Linked DNA regions of Medicago truncatula. The protein of the gene in region 2 binds, or shares a complex with, the protein of the main gene of each other region. Links are inferred from orthologs where the notes say so. Each region holds a gene or a part of one and is shown on either strand. Other genes may lie near its edges. The genes, in order: 50S ribosomal protein L9, chloroplastic; 50S ribosomal protein L24, chloroplastic; 50S ribosomal protein L15, chloroplastic; 50S ribosomal protein L1, chloroplastic.

What was found.
Region 1: 50S ribosomal protein L24, chloroplastic (region 2) and 50S ribosomal protein L9, chloroplastic share a complex: the UniProt entries of both Arabidopsis thaliana proteins name them as parts of the 50S ribosomal subunit. The link is inferred for Medicago truncatula from reciprocal best matches to the Arabidopsis thaliana genes RPL24 and RPL9.
Region 3: 50S ribosomal protein L24, chloroplastic (region 2) and 50S ribosomal protein L15, chloroplastic share a complex: the UniProt entries of both Arabidopsis thaliana proteins name them as parts of the 50S ribosomal subunit. The link is inferred for Medicago truncatula from reciprocal best matches to the Arabidopsis thaliana genes RPL24 and RPL15.
Region 4: 50S ribosomal protein L24, chloroplastic (region 2) and 50S ribosomal protein L1, chloroplastic share a complex: the UniProt entries of both Arabidopsis thaliana proteins name them as parts of the 50S ribosomal subunit. The link is inferred for Medicago truncatula from reciprocal best matches to the Arabidopsis thaliana genes RPL24 and EMB3126.

What each region holds. Positions count from the first base shown.
Region 1 is NC_053045.1:29,004,257-29,011,172, reverse strand, and holds the start of 50S ribosomal protein L9, chloroplastic, read right to left. Parts: upstream 3,023-6,916; 5' UTR 2,941-3,022; coding exon 2,803-2,940; intron 2,709-2,802; coding exon 2,581-2,708; intron 1,927-2,580; coding exon 1,881-1,926; intron 1,538-1,880; coding exon 1,440-1,537; intron 1,363-1,439; coding exon 1,315-1,362; intron 149-1,314; coding exon 28-148; 3' UTR 1-27. Other genes in the region: pheophorbide a oxygenase, chloroplastic, read right to left, coding at 4,753-5,007, 5,115-5,390, 5,713-5,872, 6,209-6,345. UniProt on the Arabidopsis thaliana protein: Binds to the 23S rRNA.
Region 2 is NC_053043.1:40,655,473-40,662,490, reverse strand, and holds the start of 50S ribosomal protein L24, chloroplastic, read right to left. Parts: upstream 3,025-7,018; 5' UTR 2,975-3,024; coding exon 2,861-2,974; intron 1,237-2,860; coding exon 1,198-1,236; intron 881-1,197; coding exon 650-880; intron 328-649; coding exon 127-327; 3' UTR 1-126. Other genes in the region: calcium/calmodulin-regulated receptor-like kinase 1, read right to left, coding at 5,384-5,749, 6,215-6,415, 6,951-7,018. UniProt on the Arabidopsis thaliana protein: One of two assembly initiator proteins, it binds directly to the 5'-end of the 23S rRNA, where it nucleates assembly of the 50S subunit. Required for optimal plastid performance in terms of photosynthesis and growth.
Region 3 is NC_053042.1:53,668,484-53,675,914, reverse strand, and holds the start of 50S ribosomal protein L15, chloroplastic, read right to left. Parts: upstream 3,023-7,431; 5' UTR 2,925-3,022; coding exon 2,862-2,924; intron 2,784-2,861; coding exon 2,444-2,783; intron 1,469-2,443; coding exon 1,317-1,468; intron 1-1,316.
Region 4 is NC_053045.1:15,688,577-15,695,921, reverse strand, and holds the start of 50S ribosomal protein L1, chloroplastic, read right to left. Parts: upstream 3,006-7,345; 5' UTR 2,907-3,005; coding exon 2,535-2,906; intron 389-2,534; coding exon 209-388; intron 106-208; coding exon 51-105; intron 1-50. UniProt on the Arabidopsis thaliana protein: This protein binds directly to 23S ribosomal RNA.

The DNA.
Region 1 (6,916 bases), on a different chromosome or scaffold from region 2:
ATATGGCATTTTGAAACATATTAGTGCTCAGTTAGCTAAAACATTCACACTCACTTTAGCTGTAACCTCAGGGTGAAGTTTTAACTCTGCAATATATTCTCCTGTCTCCCTGATCTCAGGAAGTTCAACAATTCTCTTGTCCACCTCCCTAGAAATGAATCATAGAAAATCATGAACAATTAATCAGACTACAAAACACATGTGAACTGAGACTAACTGAACTAGAAATGTAAATCGTCAAAGAGATATAGTTTGAAGAATTTCGAAAGTCTCTTCCAAATTTCTTCTAGCTTTTCAAAAATTGCATACACTGAATACATCCAAATGAATCTACAGAATCATGGAAGGATATTTTGCACCTATAATTCCTTTGTGGTATTGTGTTAACTATGGTTAGTAAATTGAGATTCCAGTCGTGAATCAAATGATCTATTTTCCTAATCATGAATCAAATCTTATTATAAATGTAAGATACACTACCGATAAAAGTATGATATTTTTATGTAAAAATAAGTCACAGCAAAATTTCAAGTTGACATATCATATACGAACCTCAATATAATTCAAGATTCAAGCCATACATCAAACGACAAAAGACAACGGCCAGCTATACAAAGTTGACAAAAAATGCCTAGCTACACTAATTTTAGGTAGTAATTCATTACAATGAATTGAGATTCATTATAGTGAAACAAAATTCATTATTATGAATTAGGAGATAAGATGGAATTCGTGTACGAAGTTGATACACACTAGGGATTCATATCGGGTGGGTTCAGTCTTACTCGAAACAAGATACGACTCACATCTAACGCAAGATACTGATGACTATGGTGCTATCAATCGATAAGGATAAGCAGGAAAGAGTAAAATAACATTGTAGTTATTACTGAAATGCACATTGAATATTAACAGACTAAACATTATGACAATTCCATTCAAACTAAAAGGAATTTCTCTAAAGGATATCAGGTATTGGTAGAACCTATTAATATTATAGTGATTTGGTTAACCTCCGTTGATAAATTATATCGAAAACTCAATCGAAAAGAATCTTTCATTATTGTGGTAAAAATCAACATGAACCTTTCTACAAAATTGGAAGGCTCCAAAGCCAGACAACAAAATAACAACAAACTGCATTAAGCATATAGCTAGTTGGAACAAAATACCATACTGAAATGTGTTTTGTTGTCCCAATTATTAGAAAAGTATAAACAGGAATGTTACAACTTATAGGATAATACTAAATAATGTAAGATTTATAATGCTAACAAAGAAAATATTTATGTGCATCAGAAAGATGAATGGTACCTTTGAAGCTGTGCCTTGATAATGTCAACAAGATCTTGAGCCGTAACACTAAACAGAAACCAAAGATTAGGCACAATCATACATATATTGCACAAATTGAAACCTAGTAATTGGGTAGAACATACCTTCCGAAGATTTGTTTTCCTTTACCACCTTTACGCTTCACCTTGAAAGCCCCAACTGATTCCAAAATTTGAGCAAGTTGCAGTGCCTCTTCTTTTACCTATAGAAATGTAAAACTTAGATAGTCTGATATGTCTTCAAATACACCTAGGGGTAAAAACTTCACTAAAATATTTCAGAAGGAAGTTTGAAAGTCGTAAAATTTCCTAAACAGCAGATAATCAGATATTAAAAAGTGAATTCAAAATCAGGAGAATATCATTGTTATGAGCTTATAGCTTTACATGCAAGGTTGTTTAGAACTAGTAGCAGAACATATTAATATTCCTTTCCTCTTGAACTCTAACACTCTTAATCACTGATCAGCTTATCACAATTTTAACTAAACATTATCATAAGGAAAATTTTACCAAAGAAATGATAAGGGATCAACGAAAAATTACCCGTTGTTTCTCAGCCTCAATTCTTTCTTCCTCTATCTTCAATTCCCTGGAAAGAAAAAGTTAAAATGAAAAGGTCTAAAGACAATCAATGCAAGGGAATCACAATTCAAAATTGTGGCAAACATGTTTTTTTCAAAATGTAATTCTTAACAAAATGAAGCCTTGACAGAAACACGAATACCAAACACAACATTGACACTGACACGTCAACATCAGTACTAATCTGAGAGAATGGAATGATTGAATGTAAACCCATGTCTCAATGTCAGAGATCAACACGTGTCGGATACCAGACACACCATCAATCTGAAGTGTTGGTGCTACATAATCTTAATGTATCATTCTAATGTGAAACTCTTAAGAGACTTTGGTGTTTTGTTGACAAAGTTTATTTTTGATGATATTTCAATAACCTAAATACCCTTCGCTGCTGCTAGTAACCTATGTAGCATTGACACTTCAGATCAAAGGTGTATCCACTTGGTCAACGACACGACACTTTCACATGTTGAATTGGATTCTCTCCAAATTGTTGAATTCAAACACTTCTACTTTCTTAAACAATTACTAGTGCCTACATGTCAGTGTTGTGTCCGGTGTCTCTGCTTCTGGTAACTTATCCAAAGTAACCTACTACTAATGTAAATTAAAATTCTAAAATCTCAAGTAAGATTAGATGATATAAATAATTGAACATTACTTAAGCAAATCGGCAGTTGCAATCTGAGCTTTGCCACTAGGAAACAAATAATTTCTGAAAAATCCAGCCTTCACATCAAGAAGCTCTCCTTTCTTTCCAACATTAAGAATATCTTCCTTCAATATAATCTAATTTCACAAAATAACAATAAAAAAAACTCAATACAAATAACAAATACTGTCACAACTGAGAGATAAAAAAAAAAATGTTGGTGTAACTAACCTTTCGGGTTTTCTTTGCTTTCTTCTGAGCGAAAATTAAGAACCTTGAAGTTTTGTTGGAAAATTGAGAAGAAGTGTTCAAGTTAGAGGTGAAACTATGTTGCAATGGAAGTGAAGATAATGTTGATGATGATGCCATTGTTGTTTTGTTAACTCACCGCTCAATTTGTGTTCTGTGTTTTGGTCTCTTATCTCTTCTTCTTCAAACGAACATCGAAAAATAGTGGATATAACGTAAAAAACTTATTATTGTATTTTTTTTTTACAAAAATGTTAATTAATATTTTTTATTTTTTTAAAAAAGTTAGTTAATTTTTAATTGACAATTTCTGTGGAGACATACTGTGGAATGAGTTTAGAATTTGGATTCACGATTTTTCTAGATTTTATATAATATCGCATCTAATTTGTTTATTGAACTCACATTGATTTGAAAGAGAAAAAAATTCATTAGTTTAGGATATTTGTTATATATTATTGTAGAATCCGACTCCGAGTCAACGATATTTCTGATGACTGATGTTCAACATAATGATTTTCACCCTCATGCAAATTTAGTTTCTCTTGTTATGATGTTCATCCATCTTCCTTGGTTGGTTTCCTTGAATATGATACAAGATAAGACAACGAATGTGTTGATTGGTTGACCAAATTTGATGCAAAGAATGTCGACATCATGAAGTTGTGGAATTCCCCTTCGACATAGTTGAATCTCGTCTTACATTGCTGATGTCTATGAGATGTTTAGGCAACAAATTGTTTAGTTTTCCTCTTTTCTGGCTTTTCTTTCCGCCGGATTAAAAAAATAATTCATCATTGTTTATTGCATTGAGATTAAAGTACAAGAGTGTACATGTTTAGTTTCATTTTGGAGGAGTCAAAATTGATTTTAGGTGTGCAGAAATAATTATAAAGTATAATTGATTTTGCCTCTAGAATTGATCTTACTTAAAAGTTATAAATCGTAAGCTTCTAATTCTATAATTGATTTTTATGTTCAAATTTATTATTCAACTACATTTTATTTACATGAATGTATTCAAACATAAATTATTTTGCCTTCAACTCAACTTTTGCCATAATCAATTTTACATAATCAATTCACTCAAAATCAATTTTTTTTCACCACAAAATCAAACATACTCTAATTCTTAACCCACTAAATAGAATCAGTTAAATGAATAAATTGACATCATAATATTCTATCATATATCACATCTTTATCAAATTCATTAAACTCTATACCCTAGAATAAAATTATAAATAATTAATAGCATAGAGATATAGATAGAAATGAATTAAAAATAATTAAGAGCATTACAGTAAGATAAAAAAAAATAAAAAAAATAATTGTATCGAAGTAACAGTTTAAATGTTGTATCATAAATTATCAAATGTAGTTATAAAAGTGGGGTAATATACAAATCAATTGCAGTTAACACACATGGTTGAATTTGGCTTAGATCTTCGATTATATGAGTGGTTCTCTTTGATCTTATACGAAAGTGTGTCTCTTCTAATCTAATTTTATATATAAAAGAATGGTGAGTCCAACATTGCAAGTGAAAGAATTGATTGATTTATCATATAGTTAGTTTTTGAAGGAATTGAAATATAAAATTAAGCACTGGATTTGTAATTTGTGTATAAAAATAAAATTCAGATTTAATACGTCTTTCGTATTCTAAACATACAGAAAGATTGGTGTTAATCTTGTCATGTTTACGACCTTCGAAATAATCATCTACAATCTATGAAAAAAGAAGTTTCATATTGTGTATTTGTAGTCTAATGTCACATTGTTATACACATGTTAACATTAACATCAAGGTAGATCTAAACTCCGTTGATGAAAATATATACACATATTAACATACACGTGGTTATTTGTCCTCATCTCTAACATTTACAATTTGCAACTAGTAATAAAACCTTTGGAGTAATAACACGTTCAATCGATTTCAGCGTGCACATAATCGACGAAAACAAAATTGTTTTTCAGTTGGTTTATGGAAAAAGCTAAGGCTGCACTGACAAGCGCGAGTGCAGCCAAAATTATGCGCAGCTGAGTATCTGATGGAATCCCAGAAGTCGCGCAAAACACAACTGTTGCACCAGTCAGGATTTTCTGCCATGTTTGGAATCCCTCATAAGCTCCTTTACAAGCTGAACACTTCAGTGTGTGTTGTTCAAATCTATCCAACATCTACATGAAAAACAAACACAAAAGATCATCAAAGTTGTGTTTTATTCTCGGTTTTGTAGACAATGGAAAAGGGTTCATAATGAAATAACTTGATCAAATTGCTATACCTGACGTTTTGATAGTACGGTTGAAGGCAATGGCTGGCTGCTGCTCTTACCAAACCATTCAGGTTGGCCATTGCCGTGTCGCCTCAGCCAATTTCTAAATGCCAACACAAAACGATCGGCCTGTGTTGGTGTGAAGGTGAGGCTTGTGTACTGTTTGTTAATGTCACCGCCATTCTCTGTTTCTGCAAGAAAGATTTTCTCTTGACCTTGAAGTACAATCATGTCCCCGTCATATACCTTGTTTGAAGTCCAATGTTCATACCATCTGGGAACCACCTGAGACATGAACAAGAAAATCGTTAGGACTTGCTTGTTCCTGGAAATATATTTTATCCTAGATGTTGATGTTGGAGAAGTTCAAGAATTCCATTTTGTTTAAAAATCTTCGAAATAAAATGGTTTCATAGAAAGAAACTTAGCATTCTTCAAGGATAACAGCGAATAATTTTTGTCAAGGTTTGCTAAAACTATATCTTGATAGACATTCAAAAGAAGCGAATAAATCAGTGAAAGACCACAGAAATTAGCAGAGAATGGAACATTCTCGTGGTTTTATTGAAGAGAATAGAAACGAAAGCATTGAATATAGAAATCTTACTTGCCACCAGGCAGGCCCTGGCACCGTGAGCTGGAAGAAATTTCGGGCACTGCAAACGATGGAGCGAGTCTTACCAGGTGCCATGGGGACATTGAAGGAACATATCCATATTACCCATTTCTGGTCACCAACGACGGGGAGTTTGGTATCGATCTCAACCCTGAAAAAATAGTTCTTAATTTACTGAGCTTCAAAACCAACAAATGGAAAGAAAACAGCAGCAACCTAGCATAAAGTAATAGTCTTTTGAAATGCATCTTGAAATATAGCATACAAACAAGACACAGTTAGCCACATGATGCCGCAATCATCCAAATATCGAGGTAGATACCGTCCTTTTTCAATTAAAAATGAATACTATTCTTTTATGGTCATGAACAAGTACATAACTCATATTAAGTTACTCATCATTTATGATAGTGTCAAATAATGTACATGGGAAAATGAAACCAGAATTCATATGAAAAATACTTTCATGAAAAGGCCAGTGGCTTACTTGTTAATATAGTAACATGGTGCAATAAATTTGGAACTGATCCGTGGGTTCCCTTCATTAGCTCCTGAAAAGCCCCATGAACCACGTGAATCCATCTTGAATGGAAGAGGCTTGGCTCTGTCTCTCCTTCCTGTAACCTATGGCGTATATATCATATTTATGTTAGTGATATCGATAACCCTAAAAAAACAATATTAAATCATTTCAACTTTTGGAACTGCTTATATTGATAGCGTCTAAATAACACATATATGCAAAATGATTGACAAACATTGACAATCAATCTATAAGTTTAACAAATCCAAAAGGGAATTTGACTGTGCAGCATAAATCATTAAGACACAATACTATTGTGCAACAAACTTGCACACATCCATCTCCTATGCTGCCTCACCGTTTTTTTGCTTGCACTTCCTCTCCCACATCGATTAGTCTGGAATGCACGATGGTGTATTTAAGTTGTTTGTTTTTTTCCCCTTAATATCTAGCATTCAAACAGTGTCTTAGAAAGGGCTCCAAATGGAGGTGCTGACCGGAAAGACTGAGTAAAGCATCGTAGAAAGCAGCCGCCGGGAAATCGGCTCTCATCATGGGATGCTTCACGGTGGAGTTTCTTCCTTCTTGATATCTAGCTTTTAAGAGAGGGTTCCCCAAGTGCTTGGGTATTTATTAACTTCACTTTTGGTTTACTAAAAAGGTGCGAGAGGG
Region 2 (7,018 bases):
GGAGATCAACATAGGTACCAGAATAATAACACAACATAATATACACTTAACAATAAAATGGGAAAAAAAATAATACAACTACATTGAGTTACATAACTGCTGAATGCATGAATTAATATAGTAAAACTAGGCAGCAACAAGTTCTTCAGTTTTTTTAGTAGCTTCCTTCAGTTTCTTCCAATTCTCTACACTATCAATTACCTCTCCAGTTTTTATTAGATAACGAACTTTTTTGCCATTGTCAATAACTTTATGACCAACACGGCTTACGACATTCTTTTCTTTAGAGTAGAGCATCACATTTGAACTGTGGATAGGACCTTCAATCTGAAATTCAAGGCAATGGTTTCTAAAAGTATTAGAGTCCATGACAAGAAATGCACCAAAAAAAAACAAAAATCATAAACATCAACGCATGTTTCTAAACTTCTTTTTTTTGTCTTAACCCTCAAGTTTCTAGAGAAAAGAGGCATGGTAATCCAAACTTCGGTCGGGAGGTAAATAAAATTGACCAAAATTTGTTCCAGCCAGGATTTGAACTCGAGTTCCCTCAAACAAAGGAGAATGTTATATAATAGGAGATTCTCTAACTCTTAAGAGTGAAGAATTCATAATAATGTTTTCTCTGGTAAAGGGAAATGATAATAACCTTATTTATTTGCCCTGGTTCTCCCTCTTGTCTACTCTTCACATGCTTTGTCTTCAAGTTTATGTCTTTGACAATGATAGTGCTGTTGTGCTTGAAGATCTTAGTAACCTCCCCAATTTGACCCTTTTCATGTCCTGATATGACTTTCACAGTATCTCCAACTTTAACATGCAATTTGTGTAACACTGGAAGGCTGTTTGGTTTACATTCCTTTCGCTCCCATCGTTTAAGCTGCCAGAAAAGAAAAGAAACAAAACAAATATTACACAAGACATTTTATAAGGTTAGTTGTTAGACAATATATTTAGACTCATGACCTATAAACCAATGTCTTTTTATGTTTTTTTACAATATAAAATTAAAGAAATCATAAGGTTTGTATCGTTTTCATTTTTGCAAGAGTATGAAAATGCCATTGACGGAAAAAAAAACATTTCTTTGCTCTCGGATCACTATAGTTAACATTTGCTTGATTTTGATTTTAGTTTAACAAAAACTAAAGAGAATAATCATATTAGGCATGGATGTGGGAAGTATTTGATACTTACCTTCATTACAATACGACATTGCTTATCTGTCGGCTTACCCTGCATATCACCAATAAGAACAATATAGATTTAGCATACTAAACTATTGAGAAATGCATCTGTAAGAAGAAGAACAATATAGATTCATTTTATCCTTATAAACAGTCAAATTTCAGCCTGGCAAAATGTAGTAGTTACATTACATTGAATGAAACATTAAGCATTATTGCATTTTCGTAGTGTTGTCAATCGCAGATTACAGAAAATAGTGGAATGCCAAAAATCTGTTATGCGAAATAGCAGACTCTATATTGGTTGAATTAAGTAAATTATATATAACGAAAGGCTTGAATTAAGTCAATTATATATAACGAAAGACATGTTCCGTACAAATAAAAAAGGGTATGGAGGCAAAGCATAGCTTACAAACATAAAGGCTTACGTATTACAGTGAATATGAGAGTATTACTCTCTGGCGATTCGACTCTTCTATTTTGAAAATAGTTCTTGTTTGCTACACGTGCAGACTCTTCAATTTTGTAATTTAAAAAAAAAAAAAAAAAAACAAATATTCTACTTTTCTTCTATTGCACAGTTGCACTACATCTGCTAGCAGAAACTAGAATAGTGGCCGCTATTTCTCTAATAGCGAAACTAGGATAGCTTTGTGTTTTTTTTTAATAGAGGATTCATCAAAATCTTCTATTTCCTCTCCATCCAATCACTCTCCATCTCCTTCCTCCCAAAATATGTGTCTCTCTCTCTCTCTCTCTCTCTCTCTCTCGATCTTCTTACCTTTTCTCTCTCTCTCTTGATCTTCTCTCTAAAATTTGGATCCAGATCCTCCACTTCCACTCACTCTCTCCTTCTCCTTCCATAATTGGTGTCTATCTCTAAATTTTAGAGAAGATCATGAGAGAGAAAAGATAAGTTAGAACACATATATTCTTACAAGGGCTTAGTTAGAAATGAACAAATAACATTTAAATTTATTCTTACAAGGGCTTAGTTAGAAATGATAATTTTAGGCAAGCACTAAGCAAATGAACACACATCAAAGAACACATATATTCTTACAAGGGATTAGTTAGAAATGGATCCTTTAATCAATATTTTCACATTGATATGAAAATTGTGTTATATCTCCTTCTTCATATGCACTATATTTGTCAAATTCAATCCTATCTTAATTTGTGATTGTCTAAAGAACACATTCAGACACACAATTGTCATGTGAAAAATCTAAATCTCTTATGAGCTTATTCACATTCAATTCCAATAGCACTGGTCATGCTACAAAATGGCAGATTCAATTTATTCTAATAAGAAAATGAATAAGACACCGAGACACACCTTCAATCAGAAGCATTGACGTTGAATAGGACATGCCATATAAACATGAACAGAATTATGAATTATAAACTGATTAGTGCATCCACTAATTCTATGAAGATGATAATTATTAACTATAAATTCAAACAATATCACCACAATTCTAATTAGAAAAATAAACACGAAATGCTATTACCCATGAACTTGGACTCTTAAAACTCACTAAAATCAAAAACCCCATGTGGATAAAATTAGAAAATAAGTACCTAGAATAATAAAAATTGAAACTTTAATTCAAAAAGAAGAAGCAAATTTGCAAAATTAATGGAGAGAGTGTAAGAGAATGAAGTACCGGAAGAAGAGGAGAGAGAGTGATGGGAGAGAGAGGCTGGCCGAAGAAAGAGTTGGAAGAGAGTGAGAGTGAGGTCATGGAACTCTGAAGAGAAGCCATAGCCATAGCTACCATTTTTGTTGCTGTAACTTCTTCTTTTTGCTTCTGCTTCTGATAATGATTTTGGATAATACAAAATTTCAAAATAAAAGAAAAAATTGAAGAATTTGGTGTGAAAATGGATCATGGGCTTTATGTGGGTTAGTTTTGTAAGCCCAAATTGTAACGAAAATTGATCTTCTTCCTTTCAAAATTACTCATTCCCTCAACTCGGCAGGAATTAATTCCCGGCATTTTTCATGGATAACTCACGCCGACATTTTTAAGATCTGTTCAATCATTTTTTAAATCGGTTCAATCGATCTTAAAAGTGCTGGTGTGAGTTAACTCACGCTGAAAAATGTCGAGCGAGAGTTTCCCACTAAATTAAGGGAATAAGTAATTTTGAAATGGAGAAGCAATTTTCAATTGTAACTCTCTTCGGAATGAACCAATTATTATTATTTTTTTCTCTTTAATTTTTTGTTCAATAATAAATACTAGAGTAAATTACACTATTGTGCTATGTTTGGATTGGTGATGTGAGATGAAATAGAGTGGTAAGTAATTGCCTTACACTATTGAGAAGTAAAAACTTAAAGTAAATTATATGTCTCTCCTCTTAATAGATACTTGAATTATACTTCTCTCGTTTAGATGTATTTTCTTATGTGCTTTTGTACAATTCTAAATTAAAAATACACTTTTTCTTATAACAAACTTTAAAAAAAAATTATCGATTTAAGTAAAACATGGATAGTTTAGTTAAGAAACATACGAAAAATACCTAAGAAAATGAATGTACCAAGTTTTATCCTTAAAAATATAGAATGCATCTTATTAAATATTTTGATATATCCTATACTTTATTTTTTATTTTGTATCCAGTAATCTAAAAGGACTTATTAACAACATTTAGCATTATTAATTTTTAAAAAAATATATATGTTATGAGGTTTCTTCTACACTGTTGCATACATATTTGCAATTGATAAATTTATATTTTAAAAAGAAAAAAAATTGAAGCAAGCAAACTTAAGTAATTTCTTTTATCATTATCAAGCAAGATATAGTATGGGATAAAATCAAAGTTTTGAGACTTGACTGTATGTAGCTACTCTAGCTAGCTTATAAGTCACTACATTAGTTTGTCTCCTAACATACTCCACCACCAGAGTTTTGACAAAAAAGGGACTTAAATAAAACATATACAATCATGAATCATCAATAATATAACCTAGTTCGGACATATCCCGATTTGGTTTATTAAAATTGTCAACCGTCAATTTAGAATCCGACTCAAAAAATATATGATCAATCTCCAGCTTATAACCCACTTGATTGCTTCAATCAAACCAAGTGCTCTTCATGAACAAGGAGGCGAGGAGAATAGTGATCTGTTCGATCTTGCAGGAAATTGCCTACTTCATCGCTTAGACACATTCCTACACCAACATAGTTGTCCGTGAACGATGAATCAATGTTACATTTTATCATCCGTACCGGTGGTCTTTGTCATCACCATTCTGGCTGCTTCTCTGCTATATGGTTATTGACTTGCTGCCGGTGTTCTAAAAAGGACGTAGCTCTCTGATGCAATTCCTGCAGACCTTCAACAACTGCTTCCATAAGTGTAAATTCTGCAGCGCCACAAACTTCGCATATCTGTACACCATTTGACTAGCTGGTTTGGATCTATTGTATTTGCAACTTTGAATAATAAATATTTGCAATAATCTTCATATCAATAAATCTGTCAAGGACAGTCCACATACCTGTCTCCTGCCATGGCCAGCTACAACTGGACACGTTACCATGATGTGTCAAGCGGATTCTGTGTTGCTGGTGCAGCGCAAATGGACGCACTACCATGATATGCCAAGCAGATTCTGTGTCAGCTGCAAATGAACATGCTACCATGATGTGCTAAGCGGATTCTCGTTACTGGTGCAGCGCAGGCAGTAGGGTTGACAGGGAGCTCCTCTTGTACAGAGATTAAAATTTATGAAGTTAGATTAATTTTGCAATTGAAATCCTAGTTAACTCTTCAGAAATTAAAACTATGATCCCTCAAATAATTTGCAAATCCATTTAAGTGAGATTAAAATTATTTTCGACATTAAGATTGTTAGTTGAGTCGGAAAATAGATTGCGTGCATGAAAGTAACCCTTTTTTCACATCAATTTCATTCATGAAAGTAATAATATACAAATTTAGGAGTTTCTGTTCTGCGAGACAACAGAACTAAGGCAAGAGAATGAAACAATAAAGTAAAAAATAATGTAAAAAAAAAAAAGAATGTTACACAAAACTACAGAAGATGATGCCAAACATCATTAACTCACTCAAAGCCTAATGTCTAATAAAGATCATTATCCAAAGCCAAAAAATAAATAAAAATAAAACAATAGAAAATAAAAGAACTAAATATAAAGCTATTTTTGTTACAAATCATACATGTCAGTTGCACTATCTATAGATTCATCTCTTCTGTGGCGACTATCTATAGATTCATCTCTTCTGTGGTCAGTAACATGACCCTTATTTTCTGGCTCATCAACATCAATTGCAACTTCATCTGTTGTGGCCGAAAGAGACTTCTTGTGATGATTCCTCTGATGCCTTGCTTTAAGGATCCGAGTCAATACTTGAACTATGTCCCTCATCGAAGGACGCTTCCTTGGGGAACGGTTGATGCATCTGTATGCAAGTGCTGCCACTTCATTCACCTCTTGGAAATCACATTTTCCTTCGAGCTTTGAATCAACAATCTCCTCCCAACCAACTTTTCCCTCGGAGTTCATTGCTGCCTAATCATCCATCAATAGCATTCATAAGAACAGAAAAAATTAATTAGATATCATGGTGTGCTGCATCAAAAAAAATTCAATTTGGTTCGATTTTTTTAATTTTTTTTCCAACTAATATAAATTCAGTTCAAGAAAGAACAATTAGATTTTTTGTAAAGGTAGTTTTATTTCGGTTCAGAATCATCGAACTGGTGCACCTCTTGGGACGGACCCCATTAACAGTTCGCTTCAGTTTTTATGAACTGTGGTAACGCCGTAACGGTTTAGTTTGGTACGGTTTTCTTTCTGAATTGAACCACAATAAGCCCTATTATTTACAAGGATTTGTGAGTATTGTCTCCGCAACTTAAATTTCTAGATCTGTCACCACTTGTTTCGATATGTACTATGTATCAAGCAAAGAAGAAAGAACAACAAGATACATTTTATTTTCAACAGGGCTTGAAAGAGGGAGAGAGGTCTTACAAGTTCAACATGTTCCATAAGACCCTGCTGAGGATTTCGGCCAGCTATAAGTTCAAAGAGCAACACTCCAAAACTGTATACATCGCTTTTTTTGGTGAATGTCCCGGATGATATATATTCAGGATCCAGATAGCCAAAGGTGCCACGAATAGCAGCATGTTTATCCACCATCTCTTCTCTTGAAAGTCCAAAATCAGCAACCTATTTGATTCAGAATCAATAAGAGCATAAGAATTCTAACCCACAATAAATTATTAGAGGAAATATATATTTTGTCATTCAGCATTATCTCAGATCATACAGATTGAATAAAAGATCATGGTTATCAAATCAAATTTCAAGTAAAAAATATAACATTTTTAAGTAAAAACATGTGACATACATAACAAACCTCAAAATAATTCAAAATTCTAGTCATAAATCAAATGGCAAAAGAAAAGTGGTAGGCTGTACAAAGTTGACAAAATAGGTTGCAGCGTAAACTAAGTGTAATGATTCAGTAGAATGAAACGAGATTCATTAAAGTGAACCGAGATTCATCATAGTGAATCGAGTTTCTTCATAATAATTTGGGGTTCAAGATGAGATTCAAGTCCAAATAGATACACACTACAGGTTTGTGTCAATTGAGTTTATAATCTTGTGCTGAATCGAGATACGACTAGCATGTATCGTAAAATACTGATAATGATATACAAGGTCATGCTTAGAAAAAGTGATGATTAACAGGACATACCCGGGCTCGCATGGACTGATCCAAGAGAATATTGTTAGATTTGATGTCGCGATGAATGACAGGAGGAA
Region 3 (7,431 bases), on a different chromosome or scaffold from region 2:
TTCTCTCTTTGCTCATTTTCAAACTGACCGACTCTTTTCTTCACTCATCTATAGTTTCTTCCAAATCCATCTCCTCCAATAGTGACCTGTTCAAGGGTAGCTTCAATCTTGCCGTCCTTTAAAAAAAAACTTTTAAATATTCTATCTGGTAGCAGATGCAACAACCTGACCTGTATGTCAAATTGATCCTTGTACTCATGCACAAGCCCTCTTGCTTCATACACAACAAAATACCAAATGGGTTGCAAATCATGGATGGCTGGAAACACCTAATAATATTATGACACATCACCCAAGTCGGGTTTTGGAGCATTGAAACAAAAACAAAGCTTGTCCTTCCATGGCTACACAGATGACTTATAGTCTTTCTCCTTCCAACACCTATTTCATATGAAAATACCTCCCAAACTTGTTGATCCAACACAGATGTATCTTCCCCAACTGAAATTACTTCCTGACCATCCATGACATCCATGTGTGCCTTTATTCTTATTCCCGCCACGTAATCTTCAATGATATACCCCCAACTCCTTGATGGAGCCTTGATACCAATAGACAGAAATTGATATTTTAATTAAATGTACATTTAGGGAAAAATTCCTTGTATGGAGAACTACAGAACTTCAAAGGTATGCAATCTTCCCTACTTCCTATATCCAAGGACCTCCGACTAAACTAAAATGACAAGATATCTCTCCCTTTCAAGTCTCAGCCCTCTTCTTATTTATAGACTACGTGCCTTATTTCTCTTGTTGAAAATATGTTTAGGATCTTTGTGATTATTATAGATTAACTGTAGGCATAAATAAGAATAAAATTGATCGTATTTATATTGTAATTATTTGTTTGAGTCTTACAAAATGGACTCCATCATGTAGTTGAGAAACACGGTTTCAACATCTCTAATATCCCGACATCCATTAGCAAACTTTTAACTCTTTCAACCAACGGACCTATATTCCAACTTTACAGTTTCAAATTCAAACCACAAACACAGCCACCAAAATATTACGTTTGAACTTACATATGTATCATAAACAAACAACATATGTCTGAGCTCAACCAAAATTCTCTGATTAAAGGCATTATATGAAAATTTTAAAGAAAGTAACTTTATTCACGATAGACAAGGGACCTCATATGAGAATTCTTTCTTGATATATGGGGCACTAGGAAAATTAACCATCCTCATTTGTTTTTAAAAGTGAAACATCATAATACCTCTAGACATCATGAAAACAATCACAGAAAAGAACATGTAAGACAACAACTAAAGGAAAAAATTAGATAGCCATAAACCAACAAGTATTTTGTACCTTCAATAGAAGTTTCCGTTCCCTTCCTGATGGGTTAATCACACGTTTCTCCGTCAGTGTCTCCAGAGACACCTCTTCCCCTTCTTGAAATCCAGCATTTTCTATGTCTTTCAGATTGATGTGGACATATTTCGGCAATCCAGCATGCATACCTTATTATGGTTTTTTTATATAAATAAAAGAAAAGAAGGAACATTAAAACATGATTCCAAGCGAGATTTATGCGTATACTAAATAAATTAAGAGAGATCCTACGACAAAGAATGAAAGAAAAGCCTTTGATAAAATAATTGCTTTTGAAATGAAATCATGGAAGGATATAAAAGAATAAGGGGAAAAAATATACAATAAGTAAAGATGTCAAGCATAATAAGAACTGAGGAAGCGAAATTTAGGTATTGGAAGCTTGGTATAATCCATAATGCCATGATTCTCTTTAGACAATAATTACCATTTCAAGATGTCAATAAAGGGAATCGACTATAATTTCTTTGAAAATCAACATATTAGGGATATATACAACATCATATCCGGACCCTGTAATAGGCATACTTCATGACTTTCAAATGTGATGCAGGCACGCAACAAGTATACGTAATCAATCTGCAACCAGGAATCACAATTCTCATCTAACCATTGTTTTTTCTTACTAATGATGTTGCTACAAGTAGCATCTTTCTTGATCACTCCCTAACAGTAGGATCCTAAATTATCCTAATATAATTCAACAAAATCCATATAAACTCCATGTGAAGCATTATGATGCTACAGATAATTCAACAAAACATGGTAAAAAAAGGGCAACCTATTAGTGTGCCAATTATATTCAATCTTGTATTTCTAAGATACTGCTAAAATTTCATGAATATCCGACTTTCAACTCAAACAATTGCATCTCTAACAATTGCACAAAAGCTCCCATTTGGTAGTATATAGACTAAAAATTAACTAATTAACAAAATGTACAATACACAAGTTTGGACATCATTTAAAACTAAGAATATAATTCGTACTGTCAATCAATCATAACCGCGATAATTAAATACGTTATTTTCAAAATCCATAAACAACAAATTTAGCCAACAAAGCAAAAGGTAAATTCCCAAGTGTTGTGTAAGAAGGGATACCTCCTGCAATTCCTCTAAGTTTGGGCAATCGTCGATAAAGCGGCATCTGACCACCTTCAAAACCTCTCATGATACCGGGTCCAGATCGAGATTTTTGACCTCTCATTCCAAAACCACAACTCGCTCCTTGTCCAGCCGCTATACCTCTTCCCTTTCTCTTTGCTCTCTTTCTTGAACCCGGTTGTGGACCCAAATTGTCCAACCGAAACCGAACATTCTCACCGGCTGGTTGTACGGAAGCAGAAACAGACTTATTAATGACAGAAACACGGTGTTTTGTTCGCTGAATTTTGAGACATGGACATAGATATGGTTTTGCTACCAATGTTTTCACATTTCCCTACAAATATAAATTCAATGGTGAAATTGTGAATTGCGGGAGAAAATGAAATGAAAATGGAAATAGAAATAGAAATACCTTGAATGGAGAAGCGAGAGAGGGTAACCAGGAAACAGGAATAAGAGAAGCAGCAGCACTCATGTCTCTCTACTATGTCTATCCGTTCTTCACTCTATCTATCAAAATGGAACAGACGGATAATATTGTTGATACGATAAACCCCCCTAAACAATAGAATAACGGTCTAGATAAGACTACAACACTTTATTATATTTTTCCTCAAAAAAATTATCACTTTATTATTTTTTATAGAGGGTTTTATTATTGGCAAATTTTATGGTATACCCAACATTTTGAGTGTATCAGTACACCAAAACATTAAATCAATAATTAAATTAGTTGTTTTTTTGAAGAAAAAAGATTTATTTTCTATCATTGACAATTATAATAATTAAATCTTATTTACCAAAAGCGTCGATGAAATAAAATTTACTCTTTTGAATTTTTATTGCCATAACGAAAAATATTGCTTATTTTTTATGAGGAAATGTTAGAAATTTAATATAATTCTTATAAACAATGAAATTATGTTTTTTTCTCATGAGATGGTGTTTTCTAAAATATAAATATTGACAAATAGCTACTTATTTCATAAAATGATTGTTAATTTATAAATTTATATAGCAGGAGTATCGGTACACCTCAATTTATGAGGTGTACCGTAGAAGTTCCCTTTTTATTCGGGTATTAATATGAACTTTAAAACTAAGTTAAAGGACCAAACAACTTTTTTTTAATGTTAAACTATTTTACATATTTATATTTCAAGATGAGATTTGTTTGGATATGAAACTACTAGGGGATAGATTCTATAAATAGATAACACATGGGAAATACATTGGAGAGTGAAAATATTTGTGAGTCTCTTGTTTATAAAAAGAAATTGAGAAATTTGCATAAATTATGTTGTTCTTAGAGAATTTGTTGAAGCTAATTTCTTGTAACCTCTTTTATACCTCTTTCCAATAACCATATACCCAATTCTTAGTGTGTTTGTTATCTTGTTGTCCTTACTTTGTTTGTGGATATGTTTTGCTTAGATATAAGATATGTTGTTGTTTCCTGAGGTTGTTTTAGATTTAGTTTCTGATGTCTTTTGCTCCACATATTTAAGTTTATTTACTTGATTTGATTTACAAAGTTACGATAAAAGGTTTCCATCGTGGGAAATTTTTCAAGTCAGCACCTCGATACTAAATTTGACATCTTCGTGATGGAAGAAAGCTTGATTCCACATGTGTGTTTTGAAGCATTGAAGGGTGGGGGTGGTGTCAGTCAACCTAACATGATTAGAGAAGACCGAGATGATGGGTTAGACAAGATATATCGTTATCTGGTGCCTCTGAGATAAGTTGTTGAGAGAGGGAGTCATGAAGTTGAAGATCATGACGATGATGTGTTTTTCCATAGGCCTAGTGAATTTCAATAGATGTTAAACACTTGTGGGTCTGAATTTGATGTGAAGAATACTCAAGATCATCATGGAGAGACAAAAGTAAGAATACTCAATTTTTTCACAAGATGATAAGGTAATAGGTAGAGATACTTAAGTGTATGTTTATACAAGTTAGATAATTATATTGTAATAGGTAGAGATACTTAAGTGTATGTTTATACAAGTTAGATAATTATATTATTTTTGATCATGTATTAGTAGCTAGATAAGACTCACATCGTCCGACTAAGTTATGTGATTTTGGGTTGGTGCATAGTGACGTAGACGTAATACGTTGATATACAATACAACATATGATGTGTAAAATATAAGCCCAGATAGATTGTGAATTTTATAATCCAAAAAACATTAAAAATGCTTCAAATTATGATTCAAATGGGGATAAAATAGACGAAACCGAGGACGGGCGCGAGAAGGGTGGATGGTGGGAAAATAAATTCTTTACATTCATCCCCAAACAAATTGAATTCTTTTCACTTTAGTCTCGGCACTATGTTATTGTTTCTAAGATGGGTCTAGAGTTTATTTTTAATTTTGTAACCTATATGAAGCATGAATTTTTTAGGGGATGTAGCATTACTAATTCTTAAGTATTAAAAGAGTAAAATACATAATTGAAAGTCCTTAACTCTGGTTCATGTGTTAAACAAATGATTGCACTTCACATTGGCCCATTCAATTGTGAAAGCTAAAATCAAATAGGAAAACCCATGTGTGAAAGCTAAAATAAAATAAAATAAGTACACTAAAAAATATTGGAACATCATGAATCATAATTTGAAACGGAAGGAACCAATTGTTGGTCTAGAGTTGATATCAGGAGTTTTATTTCTTCGAAATTACTAGTAATTTAGTTAAATTTGATTGTGTGGTCTATTTGAAGGTTCCCAAATGGATCTATTTTCTTTGAAAAGATAGTAATTGTTCAGCAACTTACTCCATCCGTTTCAAAATATAAGCAAAATTCATTTTTTAGGTTCATTCATTTAATGATGTATGTGGTTATTAAATGAATGAACTAAAAAATAAATTTTGCTTATATTTTGAAACGGAGGGAGTATGTAAAAAATAAGTGGAAGTGGTTTTCAGGTAAGGTAAGACTTCACGGAAAACTTGTTATTATGTACTCCCTTCATCCTAAATTGTATGTCACTTTAGAAAATATATTTATCCCAAATTGTATGTCGCTTTACAATACCAATGAAAAATTAATGTTATTTTTCCTATTATATCCTTAATTATTTATTACTCTATCTTCTTTCAATTCCTTCATTTATCTTTCCCATATCATTTATTGAGGACAATTTTGTAAAACAACTCATAATATATTTTTCCCACACAATATTAATTACATTTCTTAATATGTGTAAAATGTCCAAAACGTCATACAATTTGGGACGGAGGGAGTATTTGACCCCACAGAGGTTTGTGGTGTTGACCAGGACGGATCGGTTGTGCATATAGTTTGGTTGATTACGTGGTACGTGGTTTCCTTGTGACGGTGGTACGTGGTTTCCTTGTTGGTGGTATGTTTTTCAGGTTCTATGATTTTTTTTAATAAACAAACTAGCATTAAAGGATGTACAAGGCTACTCCAAACCCTTACAAGGAAGAATGTCACATGTTAAGCATTACATTACAACTAACTAATACTCCCTCCATTTTTTAACATAAGCAAATTTTGACTTTTAGATTCATTCAATCAATGATGTATGTGGTCTAAAAGACCACATACATCATTGATTGAATGAATCTAAAAGTTAAAATTTACTTATATTAAAAAACGGAGGAAGTACAACTCTGTGAGACCATCTTAATGTGATCCATTATCTCTAAATAATGTCATCCTACACTATGCTTGTTGTGGTTCTGGTTGTTTTACCATTCCCTTACACTTTATCTTTTATCGCTTTGTTTTATGATTTGATGTACTCCTTCTTAAACTCTTTGTACTCCTTGGGTTTTATTATATAACATAGTTACCTTTGGGAGGTGATCTTTGGCTAGGAAGAAAGGGGGTCTGTGTTTGTATTATGTATGGTTTTCGAACTGATAAGGTTTCTAGATATGCGTTAAGAAGAAATTTGATTGATAGTAGAGGCATGATTGATTGTTTGAATATTCTATGTATGAGAGTATACCGGAAACACTCAGCTGGAGTATTCGACTTTTGTTGTGATATTACCTTAATTGTGCAAGCATAGTGTGACACTGACATGATGAGCATATCAAGAAACTAGAATATTCTAATTTTGGTTTGACTAGAGAGAGTGAGAGGTAGATTTTTGGATTTTTAGTTAGAAAAGAAGTATGAAACCACAAAAGTTAGAAAATGGTACAAAAAGCAAGAAATATTAGAAAAATAGAAATGGGATGCAAAAGGAAGTGACACAAACTTTCAGTTCATATCCAACAGCTTGTTTGTTGTTGTACCGAACCAACATATAAAAGACATTCCACAGCTAGAATCCAAAGTAGCTGAGGTTGTGAATGAGCTCAAAAGCTGCAGCACCTAGTTACTGTTGTTGCTATCTCTTCTTTCTTACTCATGATGAGTCATAACCCTAGCTATCTGTCAGCACCTTAATTAATTATGAATCATCTATCTCTCTCTCTCTCTCTCTCTCTCTGGATATACATACATACATTACAGATAGCTAGCGTGTCTTTATGATAACAAAATATCACTCCATTACATACCATCTTGAAATCGATTGATCGTTGAAGGATGATGATCTGGAAAACCTTGTCCAACCGGTGCACCTATGCACGTGTAACTTGACTCACCTCCACCTGCCACATATTGCTGCCCATTGTTACTCATCATATGACTCACATGACGGTAATCGTGAGGAACCAAATGTGGAGGGAAAGACATAGGCCTTGATGGTGAAGAGTACAGATATTGTTGAACTTGAGATGTTGAGGATGATGAACCTGCAGCAGAGAAGGATGTTGGGAAACTCAATGGCATTGTTGGGTGATGATGATGATCTCCTATGTTACCTGCTGGATGATACCCTGCTGTTGCTATTGGTGGATAACATCTGAATATCAATTTCACAAATTCTATCAAATCAAACACTGTATATTTTGTATATATGCATGCTATTGCTAACTGTATTATTCTAA
Region 4 (7,345 bases), on a different chromosome or scaffold from region 2:
AACACTTTTAATTAACTAGAAGTGTAAATGCGAATCGAAAGCATAATCACCTTGAGTAAGAACGGCTATTTTTATGGGTTTTCCAGTTCCCTTCGGCAGACTTACCTATTAAGAGAAGATGGATGAAAGACTCGGAATTAGCAGATGTATTGTATAGTTTTCAATGTGCATGTATATACTAGAATCAAACGAATGGCAGGAGACTCACTGTAGCTCTTAACTGTTGATCATTATATTTAGGGTCAATGTTGAGGCGGAAATGGGCTTCTACTGTTTCTACAAACTTGGTTTTAGCTGTTTCTTTTACCAAAGAAATTGCTGTCTTCAAGTCATATTCTTTCTTAAACTCCCTCAATTTTTGAATTTCCAAGAATCTCTTAGATCTCACCTGGTGAAACATGGAAAGTGAAAACAACAATTATTCATAAAATAAATGGGAAACATTTTCCAAACATGAAAAATTCAATGATCCAAACAATCAACTTGATCTTAGAAAGAAACAAATGGCTATCTTATAACATTTACACCATCGCTATCCAAGTAGGCAATCAAATATGCTGGAACATAAAGACCAACCAAGCAAAAATACTGCATATAATGGTAGGACAAATAGCACAGTAACTACTGTTTATATGCATCTCTCACCTTCACTCATGCTAAATTTCAGAAGATATTGGAAGCTAAATGAAGTTATATAGAACAATTTATTTCCACCAAAAAGAAAGTCTGGCTATAAATATGGCTCAACTAAAAGTAAATGAGTATGTAACCGTGTATATTTTATGAAATTATTTATATCCTCTGAAGCTCCTATAACATAAATACGTGAACAGTGAGTTTTTATTTTTCTTCATCACCACTTTTTAGGAGTTCTCACCTACATAAGATGTTAGTCACTAAGCAAGTTTATTTTAAAATATCATTCTATTACAGTTATTCAACAGATGGAGCAGCTTGTGCTAACCAAATGAGCAATGAGCACAAAACATGAAATTAAGATATACAGTTATGTATTCATCCATTTGTAGTCATTAGCTACTGAAGAGGATTGTCCAACAATTTCTCACTATCTTATATCATTCTATTATTTCTTAAAGCTTGTTTGTAATGTTACAAGATGGCGATACATGATTAACTTCCCAGGTAAAACTACAGTTATTTCCTGTTTACGTGAAAATTCTTAGGTACAACTACGGTTATTTCATGTTTACGTGAAAAATGATATAGACAATTGCCAAAATATAGCACCCATAATTAGCATCAACTAATAGTCCAATACCCACAACACAGCTACAAGGTTAGGTATAAGTGGTAAATGTCCTCCATCTAAAGCTACTGACTCAATTGATACCCTCACCAGTGATATAACAATTTGTGGATAGAGTTCCCTCACCTCTTGGCTGAACACATCCTAGATAATATGTGTGAAAACCATAGTCACGTGATTTTTAATTCTCTTTGGTACGTGGTACGGGTATACGGTTGCTGCCTACCATGTATTGGTTACATTGGGGGGTATAATCGGTACATTTGGGTTCAGTATAAAATGCTGCTACTACTTTTGTTTACTTCTTTTATCAAATTAATAGTTATAAATTGCCTGCCGTAAAATATGGTGACTGCATATCTTTATAGTCTTTCAAATAATATCACAACAACAAGCATACAATTTCTTCAACTATCCTTCAGAACAATTTTTCCAAGTCTCCCACGTGAACGATGAACCCCTTCATCTTCCTAAATTCACTGGTTCTAAAAGAATTTCCAATCATTCCACTGCCGATCGCAATGAGAAAAGAGATTCAACACATCTTCCTTTGACTCTTCTACTGTCATAAACACTCACTGTCTTTTGTCTTACTTTAAACTGGATCCGGATTCAGTGACTTTAAGGCCGGTAATTCAAGGTGACTTCGGTGTAATTGTGTGTTATGAGAGAAAGTTAATAGATAAGTCACTGAATCCGGATCTCTTTAAACCATATAAGATAACTCAGTTCTACGCTTTTAACAAATTATCTAGAAAATTGGTGAAAACCAATTCACCAAAGTAAAACAAATTGGTATTCAAATACCAATTTTTTGTTCGTAATTGTAGTACAATCTCTATAGCACCCATACTTCTGATTGACGGCGTGACTGATACTCCCTCCGGTCCTTATTATAAGAAAGGATTGACTTTTTAGGTTCATTATGTAAGTGATGTATCTAGTCTATATTTACAACAAGATACATTAATTACTCAATGAATCTAAAAAATCAAAAGTTTCTTATAATAAGGACCGGAGGGAGTATCCGACACGTGCCACTGTCTAACACTGAACTTACATTAGTTAAATTCTATGTCGACGTGTCAATATCGTGTCAGATGTTCGTGGCTACGCTTCTTATGGTCATAGCCACCAACACAATTAATTCCCTTAATAAATAAATACTAATAATACACTAATAATCCACAAAACCAGAACCCCAATTGTAGTTAATAAAATTCAACAAAAACCCATCAAGAAAACAATAGAATTTGAAGAAGATTACCCTATCACTCTTGAGAAGTAATGCAGCTTTCCCTTTCTTAGGCTTAGTAGTAACAACAGTCACAGTTTCAGCAACATCATCAACGTCATCTTTCTCATCTTCATCAACAGTTTCAGCAACATCAGCGGCGACAGCGGAAGAAAGTAAAATCGAAGACCTGGACTGGTAGGTTAGATTAACCGACTTAGAAGGCTTCAAAACGAGGGGAGAGAGAAAGAAGGTTCTGGGAAAAGAACGGAGAGAAGAAGGAGAAAGATCTTGGGGGGTGAGAATAGAAGAAGAGGGGTGTGTTAGCATAAGAGATGATGATGAAGTTGTTGTTGTACATGAAGCCATGTTTGGGAAGAGAGTGTGGTGGTGAAAGCAGGACATTTAGGTGGTTATCTATTCGTTTTGCGATGGTGATATGAAAATGAAATGAATTTTGAGGAGATAAGAATGTGATGTGCCCTATCGTCTTACAAATGCCGCGTGATTTCTTCTCTTCTTCTTTCTTTTTGGCATATACTAATACTTATTTTTCATTTTTTATTATTACAAAAAAAAAAAACAATTTTTTATTGTATTATTGCACTAATAAATTAAGTTTTAATTCGTCTCGTCAACTTAACTCAGTTCATAGGGACAAATATATAATATATGCAGAAGCTGGACTTTGAATCTCATACACCGCACTCCTTCACATTTATAATATGTGAACTTCAACCACTACACAACTAGACAAAAAAAATCGAGGTTTAATTCCAAAGTTTTGATGTAGTGGTGAAAAAATAAAAATAAATGCTATTATCCTTCAAGAAAAATTATGCTATTAGAAATTTAGGGCGTGTAAATGATGCTCATTGTTCTAGTAAGAGAGTGTGTATATTCTAATTTATTTTTAACTTTTTTTATTGAAAGCCCATTTTAGTTTTTCAAAAATTCACGAGACTTAATTTAGTCATGTGAAAAATAATTTGTATTTATAATTTGGTTTTTTCTATCTTTCTTTCATACCAAATTATTAACAATATCTTCTTGGATTTATTTTCTTTCTTCTATCATTTTCTTATCAACCAAAACAAAGTGTAAAGAGGTTAAATATTAACTTTGTCCCGATTTAGTTTTTATCAATGACTAAAGTTACTTTTATTTTTCTAAGAAACTAAATTGGATCTTTTGAATTTTCTCAAGGACTAAAATGAACATTCACATTTTATACATAAATTGATTTTTTATGAAAAATAAATTAAGTTTAAAAGAGATTCATAGTTGGAACAAACTAATGTTATTTAATATTTGATATTTATTTTTGTTAAACATTAGTGTAAATTAGTTTACACAGATGGTTGTCCTTGTCCTAAACAAAATTGTGCGGGTGGTTCATATTTTCTTATAAAATTGACAATGCAAATTATGCTTGTGTGGTTCTTATTTAATTTATTTATAATATTGGGTGGATTATTGATGTTGATTATTTTAGTATGACTACAAAATAATGAGGATAAATTTTTTGAGGGAAAAATAATGAGGATAAACTATAACTACAAAATAGACTACCATTGTATAAGTGAATGGTGTTTTGGCTAAATACTATTTTTGTGCAGGCGGATGTGACATGGAGGAGGACATCAATTTTTTTGTCTGGTAGTCTAGTAGTTAGAATTCACCTTATAAGGTGAGTAAATAGTGTGTCCGAGGTTCGAATCCCGATCCATGCATATAATAATGCATTGTTCTACCAACTGAGCAATGCTCACGAGATTCAACTTTATTATTTTTTTTATTTTTGAGTTTTGCAGAAAAATTTGGTTTGATATTTATAATTGAATATGTTTAATTACGATTCATCCGTTTATATCTCGGATCATTTACTTCAATTTGTATGAATTTGTGACTACTAAAAAAATATTTTTTTTGTTCCTTAATTTGATTTGACTTTTCTGTATTTGGATCATTTAGCAAAAAAGAAATTCAAGAGTGTTTAAACAAAATAGGTTTTCTTCATCTTCTAGAGAAAATTAAACTCTAATCTTTATGGTGGCTGAATGCAAATCATCCAACTTTTGCTTCTATCTATCTGTTTACCGGTGTTTTCGGCAAACTACAGGTTAATTCTGATTATTACAAGAAATCTCAGGACATGATGTTCAAAGGTTTTGATCGAAAACGGTTTGAAAAGGCCACAAAATGCACTCAGGTTACTTAGAGAGCAAGACGGATTTTAGAGTAAAAAGGGCACTGTCTTTCGACAGTTTTGAGATTGCAAGTGAAAGCAAGATAAAATTAAAGGAAAGGGTAAAAGTTTAAACACATAAACTTAAAAGAAAATGTAAAATGCATTGCATTAAAAGTAAAATTGTCTACGAATAAGTTTACATACATTATGTATAACTCGTTTTCCTATGCGTCGGTAGTTTTAATGTTGTAGAATTTCTATAAATGATTTGCGACCCATTTTCCGACTAGGAAACTCTTATTTATACATAAAGAAAATAACTGGCAAAAGACTGATCTCATGATCAACACTTCCTCCATCTTGGACAACCTCTTGTCCCCAAGTTTCCACTAAGGAAACCGCCTTTGAGCTTGAAATTGTATCTTTCCCGCCTTGATTGCTTGACTTCGATGCAATTACGCTTTTAGCATTCCTCAGACGAACTCTTGACCATGCGCGTTAGGCTTGCTATTTTGTCGAAATCCTCAAATTAAAATGAAAAAGCCTTCGATTCCTGCAAAGTTAAAAGTCAACTAAATGTTGACCACATTAAATGACCCTGTCGAAATTACAGGCTAACAGGATGCCCCCGAAAAATGCCATTTTCGACGAACCTCATCAAGTAGGAGAATATTGACATTTTTTAATTACACAAGTTACCTTGAAAAGATGACATCATCCCACTCATTAATTACCCTCCAAACATGATTTTCAGTTTCTTTTCCTTTGATCGTTTTAGGATTTAAGTGGGCCACGTCTTTTCACTTGGACAACCTATAAGTCTATTTATTTCCCTAAGGCGCCACTTGTCGTTGATCGAACTCTTCATGTTCTACCCTTCGAAACTCCCTATTTTTACCATCGTTGTTCCTTTCTTCACAAGATTTCCAAGATTTTATGTCTCCCAAGGCCATTAATTATCCACTATCTCAAGGCGTTTTTACCTTCTTTCGTGCACGTTGTAACGCCCTCTTTGAATTATTTGTTTTATTTGATTATTTTATTGAGTTTAGAGTCTTTTTGAATAATTTATTTGATTTATGATAATGTGTGTTATTTTTGTGTTATAGGTTGGTGTTTTAGTAGCATATTATATTATAATATATATTATTTGGTGTAGAGATATTATGTTATTTGTTAGTATAATATATATGTTATTTGGTGTAGAAATATATTATATTATATTATATTATCTAGTGTAGAAATATAATTGTTATAGAAATATATTTGTTATTTGGTGTAGAAGTATTTTATATATATATATATATATATATATATATATATATATATTAAAATAGAATATTGAGACTTTGGGAGCTGATTTGGGAATTTAGAAGAGTTTAAGAGAATAAGTGGAGTTAAGAGAAAATAGGTAGGTTAAGGTTATAAAAAGAGAAAAGTGAGAAGTCAGAATAGTTTTTTCACGTACAACCAGTTTTTGGAGAAAAAGGGAGAAAACCTAGAGAAGAGGAGGAACGAGAAGATAACCTTGCAATCGAATTCTTAAGGTAAGGGTGGGACTAACATTCAATAATCTTGAGTCTATGATTCTGAAAATTGTATTTGAGAATTAGGGTTAAGAGTGATGATTGTGATGATTTTGAATGAAAGTGAAGTTGAATAATATAGGTTGCTTTTTCTGATTTTTCTTTTCATCTCTGCCCCGAATTTGAAATGAAATCTGGTATTGATAGGTCCAGAATTGGTCTTAGGTGTAAACACGAAAGTTGTAGGTATGGATGTTAGCTTTGTAATTCCGTTGGTCTGACGTCAAAACAATTTATAGAACTTGAGTTATGGTCATATTACTGCATGTAGGTCACAGTGAATTTTTATGAATTTCAGCACAACTTTTTCCGAATTTGAAATGAAAACTGGTATTGATTGGTACAGAATTGGTCTTAGGTGTACACATGAAAGTTGTAGGTATGGATGTTAGCTTTCTAATGCCATTGGTTTGACTTGAAAAGGATTTATAGAACTTGAGTTATGGTCAAATTACTGCACGTAGGTCACAGTGAATAATTGAATATGATTGATGAATTAGTATATGTATGTATATGTTTGTGAATACGATATTGTTCATGATTGATGAAGTGTTATATGAATGTATATGTTTATGAGTATGATGTTGTTTATGATTGATGAATTAGTATATGTATGTATATGTTGTGAATACGATATTGTCCATGATTGATGAAGTGTTATATGCATATATGATGTTTTAAGATGTTGATTATTATTTGATGTTGTTATATCTTGAGGTGTTTAAGTGTTGTCTATGTTGCTGTTGTTGGTTATGTGAAATGTTCATATGTCTTATGTGGAGAATATATGATGTTTAAGTTGTTGATGTTTTTCATTAATATTGTCATGTTGTGAATTGCTTGTACTGTTTCTGTTGATGTTGCATATTGATCAAGATGCAGGTGTTGGTCTAAGTTGTAAAGTTGTAAGTTTTCTTTCCAAAGTGTTTCCAAAGTATTGGAGTATTAAGTTGTTAATGTTGTCTAAGTTGTTGATATGGAGTTGCAAATGTTACATATGAAGATTATTAATGATGGTTACTTGTTGTATATGTTTAAATGATGCTGTCTTGCTGTTGTGATGAATA